Sus scrofa: one gene and its partners. The protein of the gene in region 1 binds, or shares a complex with, the protein of each later gene. Links are inferred from orthologs where the notes say so. Each region holds a gene or a part of one and is shown in the gene's direction. Other genes may lie near its edges.

Region 1 (3,651 bases):
CCCAATCATTTTTTATTTTGCTTCTAGTCCCTAAATTCCCAGTCTGTTGGTCAATCATTAACACAGCCAGTGATGTCTCAAGCTGCAAATGTATCAGTTCCACAAGGCATCTCTCAGGTATTTTTGTTTGTTTCAGTTAAGTATTTTAAAATTTCAAATTGTTTTTAAGCTACTAGAGATTTTTAAAAATACAGATGCAGTAAATCTCACCTGTGGGCATTTAGACTACCTGGGGATATTTCTGAGTGAGGTTAGGGTATCACTGGCCCTTTCGTAGGCAAGGGCCAGGAATGCTGTCTTTGAGGGTGCATGACAGCTGTGCACAACACAGAATTGTCTTGCTTAATCCCTGCTGAGAAACACTGTAGACGGTAAGCTGTTAAAGGTGAAATACAGCTGTTCATTTGGTTCTTCCTGTGGGTGTTGGAAGAAGTGAGTAATTTTATTTATGTACTTTTTCATTTGTTCATATCCAGGACATTTATTGAGTTCCTTGTATTAGCAGATATCACAGGTGCTGGCGGTACAAATTTATCTCTACTAAGAGACTTTATTATTATCTAGAGGTAAAATGACAACTAGAATACAGTGTTACACAGTCAGTTCAAGATAAAAGACTGAGATAAGAGCATGTTAGATGGATACTTCATGTGGCCTAAAGAAGTGAAAGAGGACTTTCTGGAGGAATTGTTGCTGGAACTGAGTCCCACAGGAGGCCTCAATACAAAAACTAGCATGACAGAGGGGAGGTATTACAGAAGCCACATGTTTGATTATAACGTTGTGACTTTTAATTTATGATTCTTCACTCATTCAGAACCTTAGACATGTTAAAAATACTAATAAGTTGTACTAAAAATAATCTTAAATTAACTTTAACAGTATCTTCGTTTCAAATAGTGATAGTTAACAATAGGTAAAAACAATATTTTTCTAAAAATACCTTTTTCTTATATGATTATTTAAATTATACATGTATAATTATAGCTAGTATATATTATGACACTTATACAAGTATATCGACAATGTTATAAATTACCTAAATGTCATAATCTCAACTTCTAACAACATATGATTGTATGAGGTATTTATAAGAAGACAGTGTTATTGGAGTTGCAGTAGTTTTTATCAGCTATTTATTGAGTCCTCAAATGCTTTCTATTCTGAAATGTAACAGATTTTAATGTAAATATTTGATATATTTTCAGTATTATTAGTTCATTAATCTCAAGATACTGAATAAGAATTTCTAAACAGATATTGAATAAGAATTTCTTAACATATATATTCATGAAATAAACAGTATCTGTTGTGTCAAAATGTTAAGTTTCAAGTTTCATATTTCTTTCAATGACAAGCCAAGCACTTTGCTTCTTAGCTCTATGATTTTCTTAACATTCTGTATTCTGTGTTTATTTTTATTTTCTTATTTGCACTTAGTAGAAATCCTTTCAATGGTGACAGTGGAATGTTTACCTAAAGATATAAATAACTTTAGTTAGGATAAACTATATTAGTATAGCATAAATATAATTTGTAATATTTTCTCACACCCAGTATACTCTAACATATGATCTGATTACTGTCATCTTCATAAGTCAGAGTTGTATTCTTTGTTTTTGTGTTTTCTTTTTAGGGCTGCACCCATGACATATGGAAGTTCCTAGGCCGGGGTTGAATTGGAGCTGCAGCTGCCGGCCTACACCACAGCTATAGCAACACCAGATCCTTAACCCACTGAGTGAGGCCACGGATCGAACCTGCATTCTCATGGATGCTAGTCGGATTTGTTTCCGCTGCGCCACAAGGGGAACTCCCTGAGTTATATTCTTTGAAAAGTAATATTCACTATTCTCAGTGCAAACTTTTGAAGATAAGTAATAAAAAAGCTTTTGAGGGGCATTTGTCACTTTTGGATGCATTGTAGGAGACAGTTTCAAGATTTAGACAGATTTCTAATAAAGTGAAATTCTTTCTGCTCTTACACTGTATCCTGTACTGAATATTCCTGGAAATAAGTAAATGAACTTACACATACGTGTGTATATATATATATATAGAGAGAGAGAGAGAGACTTAAGAAATGGTGAGTCACCAAGTGTAGCTAGATTTCAAGCAGTAGTAAATGAGCTACCTAGAATGCAGGTGAAACAAATTAGTAAGATTGAAAACCTTTTCTTACTCTGGAAATAGAATAACTGTGCTTTTCATTCACAGATGCATTCATTCATTTATAATTGCTTAGTCTTAAAAAGCCTAGGTTTCATACTTGTCTGAGAACAGTTTCAGGTGAAAAGAAGGATAAAAATATTATGCTTGGTTATCTGTCAGATTTTTATTCTGAGTTTTGAAGACCGTAGGGATGCTGGGTGTAGAGAGCAGCCAAGGAGGAGCAGCTTGGGAGGCCCCCCCTAAACTGCTGCTCCTCCAGGTCAGGCCAGGCCAGGCTGAGGATCAGGCCCTACTGGGGCCGCTGTGGCTGGAGCCACTGGATGATAGACACTCTGACTGAGGTGCATGGACCAGGGCTGGAGAGTGGGACCACCTGCCGAGAAGCCACCCACTACGATGCTAGTGAGGCTGGAGCGCAGCTGATTCTCTGTAGGGCGCGCCCCGTGGTGTAAGAGCTGGAAGGAGAGCAGCAGGACCAGAAAGACGAGCACCTCATTTGCGGCATCCCTCAGCATCTTCTGCTGATGGGACTGCTTGTACTTACAGGGTCCAATCCAGTGTCCCAAAGCCGAGCCAAGAGGTGACTTAGGAGCTGAGAGGCAGTACATGAATAAGTGGCAAAACATTCTTATCTCACGATACACTGCTTAGCTTCACCGTGTACAACTGGGAGAAGTGCTTCTCAGAGATTTTACACTTTCCATTCACAATACTTCAGTTTCAGTTCTCAGCTCAGTTAGGAGCCATGCAGCATCTGAAAGACCAGTTGGAGCAACGGACACGGATGATAGAGGCAAATATTCATCGGCAACAAGAAGAATTAAGAAAAATTCAGGAACAACTTCAAATGGTCCATGGTCAAGGGCTGCAGGTTGGTTATATTTGAATACAAGCAAAGCATGCTGTCACATTTTAGATTCATAGGAAACAGTCTTGTTTAATGAAACACGTGGTGCCAAAGATACATTTCATCAGTTTAGTTCCATAAATACTTATTGGTTATACTCAGTATGATTTTGCATTTACAGTCTCGAAAGATAATTCATTCTGAGAGTGTCTCCATCCACATCCTTGTTTCTCCATGTTAAAGTCATCTCAGTTGCATTTTTAGTAAGTTTAAATCCATAATAGCAAAATAATATGTTACATAGACTTTTAGGTACATGTAGCTACCGAATTTACAAAATAGTCTTCAGTCTTTTTACAATAACATGCCAGTAGGAATGATTCAAATTAGTCTCTTTGGTCCAGCAGCAGGGCCACTCTAAAGTTATGCTTATCTGAAGAGACTAGGAATTTGGTAAAAGGAAACTTGAAGTGAAAACTACTCCTGTTTAATGCCATGCTTTTTTAGTGATGAATGATGCCGAGTCCCCCACCCCTGTCTGCAGACCTTTGAGTAGCTCTGAGTTAGGGTCTCTGATACAATAATCTCCAACATGTAAAATGTCAATCAAGTGAAGGTTTTAAAATTTGCAA
Region 2 (3,651 bases), on another chromosome or scaffold:
GACGTGTAACTGCGGTTAAGCTCCAGGGGATTGTGTGTTTACCCTTTTATTTTCTTCCAGGTTAGAGTACACAGAGCACCAAGGAAGGATCAAAAATGCCAGGTAAGCTTGGACCCTCCCTCTGTCTATGAACTGTCTTGCTTTGGAATTTTTTGGCGGAGTGAGGGGGGGCAGCATATGGAGGTTCCCAGGCTAGGGGTCTAATCTGAGCTGTAGCCGCTGGCCGCAGCCACAGCCACACCAGATCCGAGCCATGTCTGTGATCTGCACCACAGCTCACGGCAATGCCGGATCCTTAACCCACTGAGCAAGGCCAGGGATTGAACACGCAACCTCATGGTTACTGGTCAGGTTCATTAACCACTGCGCCATGATGGGAACGCCTGCTTTGGTTTCTTAGAGTGCAGTCTAAGAGGCTATGTCTGTCTGGTTCCTGTCTACCTAACATCGTTCGACACAATTGTCATGTCCTTAGGGAATGAAGAACGGGATGGGGGCCTGGGCTTGATATGACCTTCTGCCCTTCGCATCACTCTTTGCTGTCTAAGCACATTTAACCCGAAAGGGACTTTGGAGGTAGTGGAAGATAAATAAGGGCTAAAAATTTTCCCCATCCTTAGTATGTTCCTCCTTCCTAACTCTTGGGGGAGACCCAGCTCAGGGAGTCAGTTACCGGGCTCTGCCTTGCCTCTGAAAGGGCTCTGATGGCTCTGCCAGGCGCTGCTGAAGGTCAGACCCTGGGGTGGGGTGGGGGCTGCTCCCTCAAGTAGATTCTCTTACTTGGTCCTTCCTGCCTCCATCCACACTTGCTGACTCCTTTCCATGTGGGTCCTCAGCCTTCCTGCCATTAGCCCCAGGGCCATCTGAGCGTGTATCCTGACAAAGAACCAGGGGCTGCAGAATTCGACGGTCCTGACATTTGTGGCTTTTCCCTCACGGACCAGCTTTGGCAAGAGATCCCGTGGTCCTCTTGCTATGGCAGAGGCAACAAACTGTGTTTGCACTGTTGACACTCCTCTTTAGGGGGACAGTCACAAGTAGCAGGTGCAGACCAGTCGGGGAGAGAGTATGGGCCAGTGGCATTGTCATCCTGCTTCAGTGGGCAGCAGCTCCTGGGAGGGAGGCATGTGACATTCTTCAGCGGCAGCTCCTGGGGACAGAGGTAGCATCTGCTGCATCTAGGTGGGGTCATGGCTGATCCAAGACGACAGCATTAGTTACGTGACTCCTCAGTAAGTCTCCGACAGGCCACACAGCTGACTCCCCACAAACCCCAGGGACCGCTCCGCATGAGGCCCTCACGGATGTCTGTTCTGGATGCTTTGCTCCTTGAAACCTCCACCTTCCTTCAACCCCATCTTAAAATCCAACTTTATAGAGGCCGAGAGGAAAAGAAATGAGGAATGAGCAATTTGGTTTTCTCTGAAAAGACCTTTTTTGTAATATTTCTCAGTTCTAAGGATGAGGTCAGCATTAAAAAAACACAGAAACCCCAAAAAACTAACAGTGACCTGACAGTGGGGCCACGCTTTTTGGTAACTTTAGTAGAAAAGTCTAGTTTGAAGCACTCTGCAATTCTAATTTCGCCTTATCAGATGAATATTGAAAACAGTTGTAACTTATTTCATCATCATTTCCTTGATGCTCTGTTACATTTTACAGAAATCATTTTTCATATTGTTGTTCAGGGAAGCTCACAGTCAGATTGAAAAGAGGCGTCGGGATAAGATGAACAGTTTCATCGACGAACTGGCTTCTTTGGTACCAACGTGCAACGCGATGTCCAGGAAATTAGATAAACTTACTGTGCTAAGGATGGCCGTTCAGCACATGAAAACGTTACGAGGTGAGATTCCGAGCTTTCTTGTCCTTTCTGCTTCTGCTCACAGATGTTACCCTCCCTACCTAGAATTTTTCCGAGTCTCTAAGGCAAGTGTTTCTAGCCTGGAGTGATATGCCTGTCATTTTCAGTGAGAGGCGTGATGCCAGATGAGGCGATTATTGAGCTTGCGTGAATATCAAGATACAGCTTTGCCCTCCTGCATCCCCAGAGGGTGGGACTGTGTCCTGTGTGCCTGTCTGTGCACATAACTGGGCAACATACATAACCCAGGGGATGCTCTAAAGTCCTACCTTGCATGTATGTGGTGCCTGGACCCCAGCCCCTCACAGTGATAAACATCAGAAATGTAGGTGCATGTAGTGACAGAGAAAAGTCAGTTTCAGTTTTTAAAGGAAAAATTCATCTTGGTTTCTTTTGAAGAGTGAGTCACTGGTTGATGGCTCTTGCTGCATTTTATTGTCAGGAATGAACACGGGTGATATTTTCGTCTTCCTGGAATTTTCCCAAACCAGATCAAGTCTTTATGAGGGAGGCAGTGTTTTCCTTCTTTTCTGAGTGCGGGGAGGGTAAAAAAAAAAAAAAAAAAAAAAAACAGAGACAGAAATGTGGAAGTGGCTTACCCAAACCACAGGAGAAATCTGAACCGTATCAGGCATTTTATGTGAATGCTGTTCCTGGAATTTTCCACAGCTAGTCTTGGACTGTTTGAGGAAATTGGAAAGTGGGCGCTCAACTCAGATCTCAGACCTGCGTGGTACGAGAATTACATCTTTATACTTCTGCAGAGCCACCAGAAATGAGAAGTAGCTGGTTTTATCTGACTTTTGGTCATCATTCTGAACTATAAATGTTATATCCTGTGCTTGGAGAAGGGCATTTTAAAATTCATATTCATGAAGATGATAGAGATGAAATCACTGTAACTAATGTCTATTACATTAAAAGGAAAAGAGGGGCAGATCTCAAGTTATCCTAAAAAGCAGGGCTGGGGATCAGTACTATGCGCCTTGTTAGTTGATAGGAAAGTCACAGCCACAGTCTGTTTCCCTCCTTCCCAGTGGTACTTGGAATTGTTATGGATCATTTCATTTCTTCATGGTTCCACTAACTCTTTACAGATGCCAAGTCACTGAACGCTGGCATCTTTCTTTTCTAAGTTACCATTCTCCTAAAGGACGCCAGATTGACAGCCTTTTAAACATAAGTCTTGCGCCCTTTCAGTCTTGGGAGCTCAAGTTGCATTTACTGAAGGAATGCTTTTCTCCGGGTTGCCAAGCTCATTTAACACAACCCCGATGAAGAGGAACTCACAGTAAATGCTTCTACAGCGTATTTACTCAGGGCCTGGCAGACTGGATGATTTCCCAAGAACATTTAGAGTGGTGATTTGAGCACCCGCTAGACAACCCATTTAATATAGATCTGGGGAGGAGGGAACCACACGGGAGCCTCTACCAGTTTGCTCCTAGAGCTGCCTTCTCTCTTCAGAGCAGGCTTTTAACTTCTGTCAGCTCCTGATTTTCGACATAGCAACAAAAGCAAGCTTCTTAAGTCTCCTGTGGGGGAATGATATTTGCTTTTCAGTGGAATTCTCTTTGGCATTAGAGGATGGTGTCCAAAGCCAGATCTAGCCCTGTCTCCGTTAAGGAAAAAGAAGATCACATTCAGATCCCAGGTGGTAAGGACCAGGCTGCATCTGGAGGGCCTGAGGCAGTGGAATGAGACATTATCTGCCTGTACAGCGTGCCGACTCTTTCTCTTTTTTCCCTTGTAAGGTGCCACCAATCCATACACAGAAGCAAACTACA
Region 3 (3,651 bases), on another chromosome or scaffold:
AGTTTTGAGGTTTTATGGGTTGGCTTTGTTTTTATTGTCATATCATGTGGTGCTCCCAGCCTCTAAAGGTCTTACTCCTGCCCCAGGTCACACACACACACTCCTCTCCCCTTTCAGCAACACATTCTTGAAGGTGCTGTGCTAGTTTTGAAGCCTTCACCCATCCTTGCTGCAGACGGGATGGTAACTTTCACAGGAACCCGGGTCTGGAGGGGAGTTAGAAAGGAAGTCTACTGTCCTAAGGTGGTGGTTCGGAACCTTTCGGGGGTGGGAGGATAATTATGGATCCATTGAGAATCCAATGAAAGCTAAAGACCTTCTCAGAAAAATTCACGACAACATATATCGCAAGTGTTCTGGTCCATTGAAAGGGGGTCCATGACTCCCCAGGACTGGTTAAGAGCCCAAGTGACCTGACTCTTCTTCTGCCACCAGATGGGAGCTCAGAATGCCTGAGCTCGGCAGAGCAGATGGAGTCCGAGGACGTGCTGGGCGCCTTAGGCTGGAGCCCAGAGGACCGGCCGAGGCCGAGCTCCAAGCCTGTGAGCGCTGCCTTCCCGACGCTGTCCCCCATGGTTGTCATGAAGAACGTGCTGGTCAAACAGGTGAGGAGGGCTCATCTCTCCTGACTTCTTCAGACTAGAGTCTCTGAGCTGCCTGTGTCCAGAGCCTCTCCCTCTGCCAGGGAGAGAGGTGAGAAGCAGGGCACCAGGACCGCACCCACTGCGTTTCTGTCCTGGGAGGAGGACGTGCCCTTGGATTATGAGAGTCGTGACACGTGTTCTCATTTTCCAGACCGAAAGACTATTGTATTTCCACATCCCCAGTGTGTCCAAAGTGATCTGGAATTCTTTAGTCATATTTAAAGGAACCAGGCAGAAATGTCTAACCTCTGTTGTGCATTCTAATATGTGGCAGAATTTAGGGCAGGAACAAGAGGATCTCCTTTTAATTTGAATTGCCCTGGGAATTTAGAAATATTTGGGAAATAGAAGCAATTTCTACTCTATAGAAGCAGTAGAACAATTTCTCATGTTGCATTCTGAGCATTTTCTAGTAATCAGCCAAAGCTATGTCATTAGTGAGAAAGCGGCTCTTTGGTTTAGGTATGGCTCTACCAGCAGAGCCCACGTGGCATTGCTGTGGAGTTGGAACATACCCTGTTTCAGGCTTGATTACATCACTATGCAAATTGGAGTTGCCATGTGGCACAGCAGCTTAAGGATTCAGCATTGTCACCACAGTGGCTCAGGTCACTGCTGTGGCACAGGTTTGATCCCTGGCCCAAGAACTTCCACATGCCTTGAGTGCTGCAAAAAAGAGAGAGAAGAAGAAAAAGCACCATAACTATGCAAATTATGTGATTATTGCCTAGATATGAAAGAAAAGATTTAGGTGAAGATCTAAGCTAAGCCCCAGTGTTTGAAACAGAGATCTCAATCATATATATGAACTTGGTTAAAGAGCATGTAACCTTAACCCCCCTTTGCTCGAGGCTGCTCGAAGCTAGTAAGTTTGAAATCTGGCTTTATGTGGTTGACCTGCCTGCCTCAGAAGAACATGGCTGCAGCCTGACAAGAAACCTTAACGTCTTAACTATTACTTAGTTTTTTGCTGAGGAACACAAACTGATTTTTGACAAGGCAGCCTGGTGAGTTTGGAAGAAGAATTTAAAGGTATTTGCTTGGCAAATCACCTCTCAGCTGGAAGCACAGCTCCCCTCACTGCGCTGAGGCTAGAGAATAAAAACATGAAATGGAACCCAAATGAGATTGTCCAGGCCCCACCAGGGCCGTGGTGCTTCTCAGGGCTTCCGTCTCCTGCTCTTTCCTCCCTGCCTTCCTCTCTGGCCCCTGGCCACTTTTTCTTGGGCGTCTTTGTTTGTCATGGGCAAGGCTGGCAGCTGCAGAGGCCTGGGAACAGCCCACATGCAGAGGGTGTAGGCGGCCCCAGTGAAGGCGTCATCTTTAGGAGAGAGAGCCACTGGGGAGGCCACTGGGCTTGATCAGGGGACAGGACACATGGGAGCAGACTGACCTAAGGGAGCCATCTAGGAGCTTAGTTATTTTTCACATGGGCTAGACTCCAGCACATTCCAAATTTAAAAGAATTAAATACTTTTGTGTCATGTCTTAATTATTGCTGCCTTGGTTTTAGGTATTTTTCTTTTGAGGGTGTAATTCCAGTTCTACCACCACACTATGTGATCTTACACACAATTACTTAATCACTGTGGACTTCAGTTTCCTCATCTTTAGCATGAGATCTTAGGTGAAATGATTCTGAGATCCTATTCAAGTCTAAAGTCTTGTCTGGTATTCCCTCAGGTGATCTCAACAAGAATGATACACTGTAAAAGCTAAAAATGAGAATAAATAAGCTGAGTGTCTTGAGTAGGCATAGCCGCAGCCTTAGAGGAGCAATCCAGTGAAATCATTTTGGAAAAGCAATGAATTAGGTCTTTTCTGGATCCATTTGCCTGGTAGGTCACCTCTTAAGGCACGAGTGACTAGGGACAGTCTGAAGTTTAGCTTCTGACTGAGCTGAACCAGGCTGACGTTCCTGGACTGACCTCTGACTCTCTGTGTCCTCTGACGGGGGAGTGCGGTTGCCGGGCCTGGCACTGCTTGCCTGTGTACATCGCAGGGTGTGTTTGAACACCAAGAGGGCTCCAGGATGCACTCTTCAGGTCATCCCAGCCTTTGCACAGGAGATGAACTATAGTAGATCTTGGCTTAAAGATCCTAGCCAGGTATCCAAGAAGCTGAAATGTATGCAAATGAGTGTGCCTGTGAGGGAGCATCGTCCTTCGCTTTCCTCAGACAAATCACGTGACTTCTCCAAAGGTAAGAACCTCTGTCAGGCTCTCTCTGCCCAGCCTCATCTGCACTCAGGTCTTTGGGCCCAGGTTGGAATTGGATTGGCTTTGAAATTTTCGAGACAGATAGCCATGCCCTTCTTTATTAGATTTCTGTGTGAATCGTTAATTAAACATTAAAATTATAATGGAGGAGTACAACAAAAGCGGTGTAGTGGAATAGTCAGGCTGGGTTTTAGCGTCAGAGGATGGAATCCTAGCTTCCTTACATAAAGTAGCTTGGGGACTGAAAGCAAGTTAGTTCAACCTTCTAAACCTCAGTTTCCTGTTTGTGGAGGGAAATGACAACCACCTCATGGGGTCATTATGGAGATTAAATGAGACAACCCATGTGAAGTGCCACACAGCGTCGGCCTGTAGTCAGCACCCATACATGGCGGCATTTCGTGCCTTGGAGAGCGTTGTGGTTGTTGGGCGTCATTGCTTTAAAAACAGGTTCCAGATGTAACTAAATGAAGATAGACTTTGATGTAAAGTCACATTTATAGTGTCGAGATCAGCACATGTGAACCTTTTTAAAAATTTTTTTTTATTTTTTTGTCTTTTTAGAGCCGCACCCATGGCATATGGAGGTTCCCAGGCTAGGGGTCGAATTGGAGCTATAGCCGCTGGCCTACACCACAGCTAAAGCAATGCCAGATCTGAGCTGCATCTGCAACCTACACCACAGCTCACGGCAATGCCAGATCCTTAACCCACTGAGTGAGGCCAGGGATCGAACCTGCGTCCTCATGGATGCTAGTCAGATTTGTTTCCCCTGAGCCTCAATGGGA

What was found.
Region 2: the proteins of CLOCK (region 1) and ARNTL are in contact, whole or in part, in a crystal structure (PDB 4F3L), measured with the Mus musculus proteins. The link is inferred for Sus scrofa from reciprocal best matches to the Homo sapiens genes CLOCK and BMAL1. Residues at the interface, in NP_001276755.1 of Mus musculus: Arg46, Gln49, Phe50, Leu53, Ile54, Glu56, Leu57, Met60, Leu61, Pro62, Lys70, Ser71, Leu74, Gln75, Ser77, Ile78, Phe80, Leu81, Arg82, His84, Lys85, Thr88, Glu95, Ile96, Gln98, Asp99, Trp100, Pro102, Phe104, Leu105; in XP_030097882.1 of Mus musculus: Lys70, Met71, Phe74, Ile75, Glu77, Leu78, Ser80, Leu81, Val82, Asp93, Leu95, Leu98, Arg99, Ala101, Val102, His104, Met105, Lys106, Leu108, Arg109, Gly110, Ala118, Tyr120, Lys121, Pro122, Phe124, Leu125, Asp127, Asp128, Glu129.
Region 3: the proteins of CLOCK (region 1) and CIPC are in contact, whole or in part, in a crystal structure (PDB 5VJI), measured with the Mus musculus proteins. The link is inferred for Sus scrofa from reciprocal best matches to the Homo sapiens genes CLOCK and CIPC. Residues at the interface, in NP_001276755.1 of Mus musculus: Gln519, Leu526, Lys527, Leu530, Arg533, Ile537, Asn540, Ile541, Arg543, Gln544, Glu547, Leu548, Ile551, Gln554, Leu555, Val558; in XP_006515773.1 of Mus musculus: Asn401, Thr402, Val405, Leu406, Ser409, Leu411, Ile414, Thr415, Thr418, Leu421, Ile422, Asn425, Thr428, Gln429, Leu432, Leu435, Lys436, Thr439, Gln440, Phe442, Ile443, Thr446.

Annotation. Positions count from the first base shown.
Region 1 is NC_010450.4:54,805,606-54,809,256, reverse strand, and holds part of CLOCK (circadian locomoter output cycles protein kaput), read left to right. Parts: intron 1-27; coding exon 28-117; intron 118-2,890; coding exon 2,891-3,043; intron 3,044-3,651. UniProt on the Homo sapiens protein: Transcriptional activator which forms a core component of the circadian clock.
Region 2 is NC_010444.4:45,934,549-45,938,199, reverse strand, and holds part of ARNTL (aryl hydrocarbon receptor nuclear translocator-like protein 1), read left to right. Parts: intron 1-60; coding exon 61-102; intron 103-1,688; coding exon 1,689-1,846; intron 1,847-3,618; coding exon 3,619-3,651. UniProt on the Homo sapiens protein: Transcriptional activator which forms a core component of the circadian clock.
Region 3 is NC_010449.5:100,190,317-100,193,967, forward strand, and holds part of CIPC (CLOCK-interacting pacemaker), read left to right. Parts: intron 1-435; coding exon 436-605; intron 606-3,651.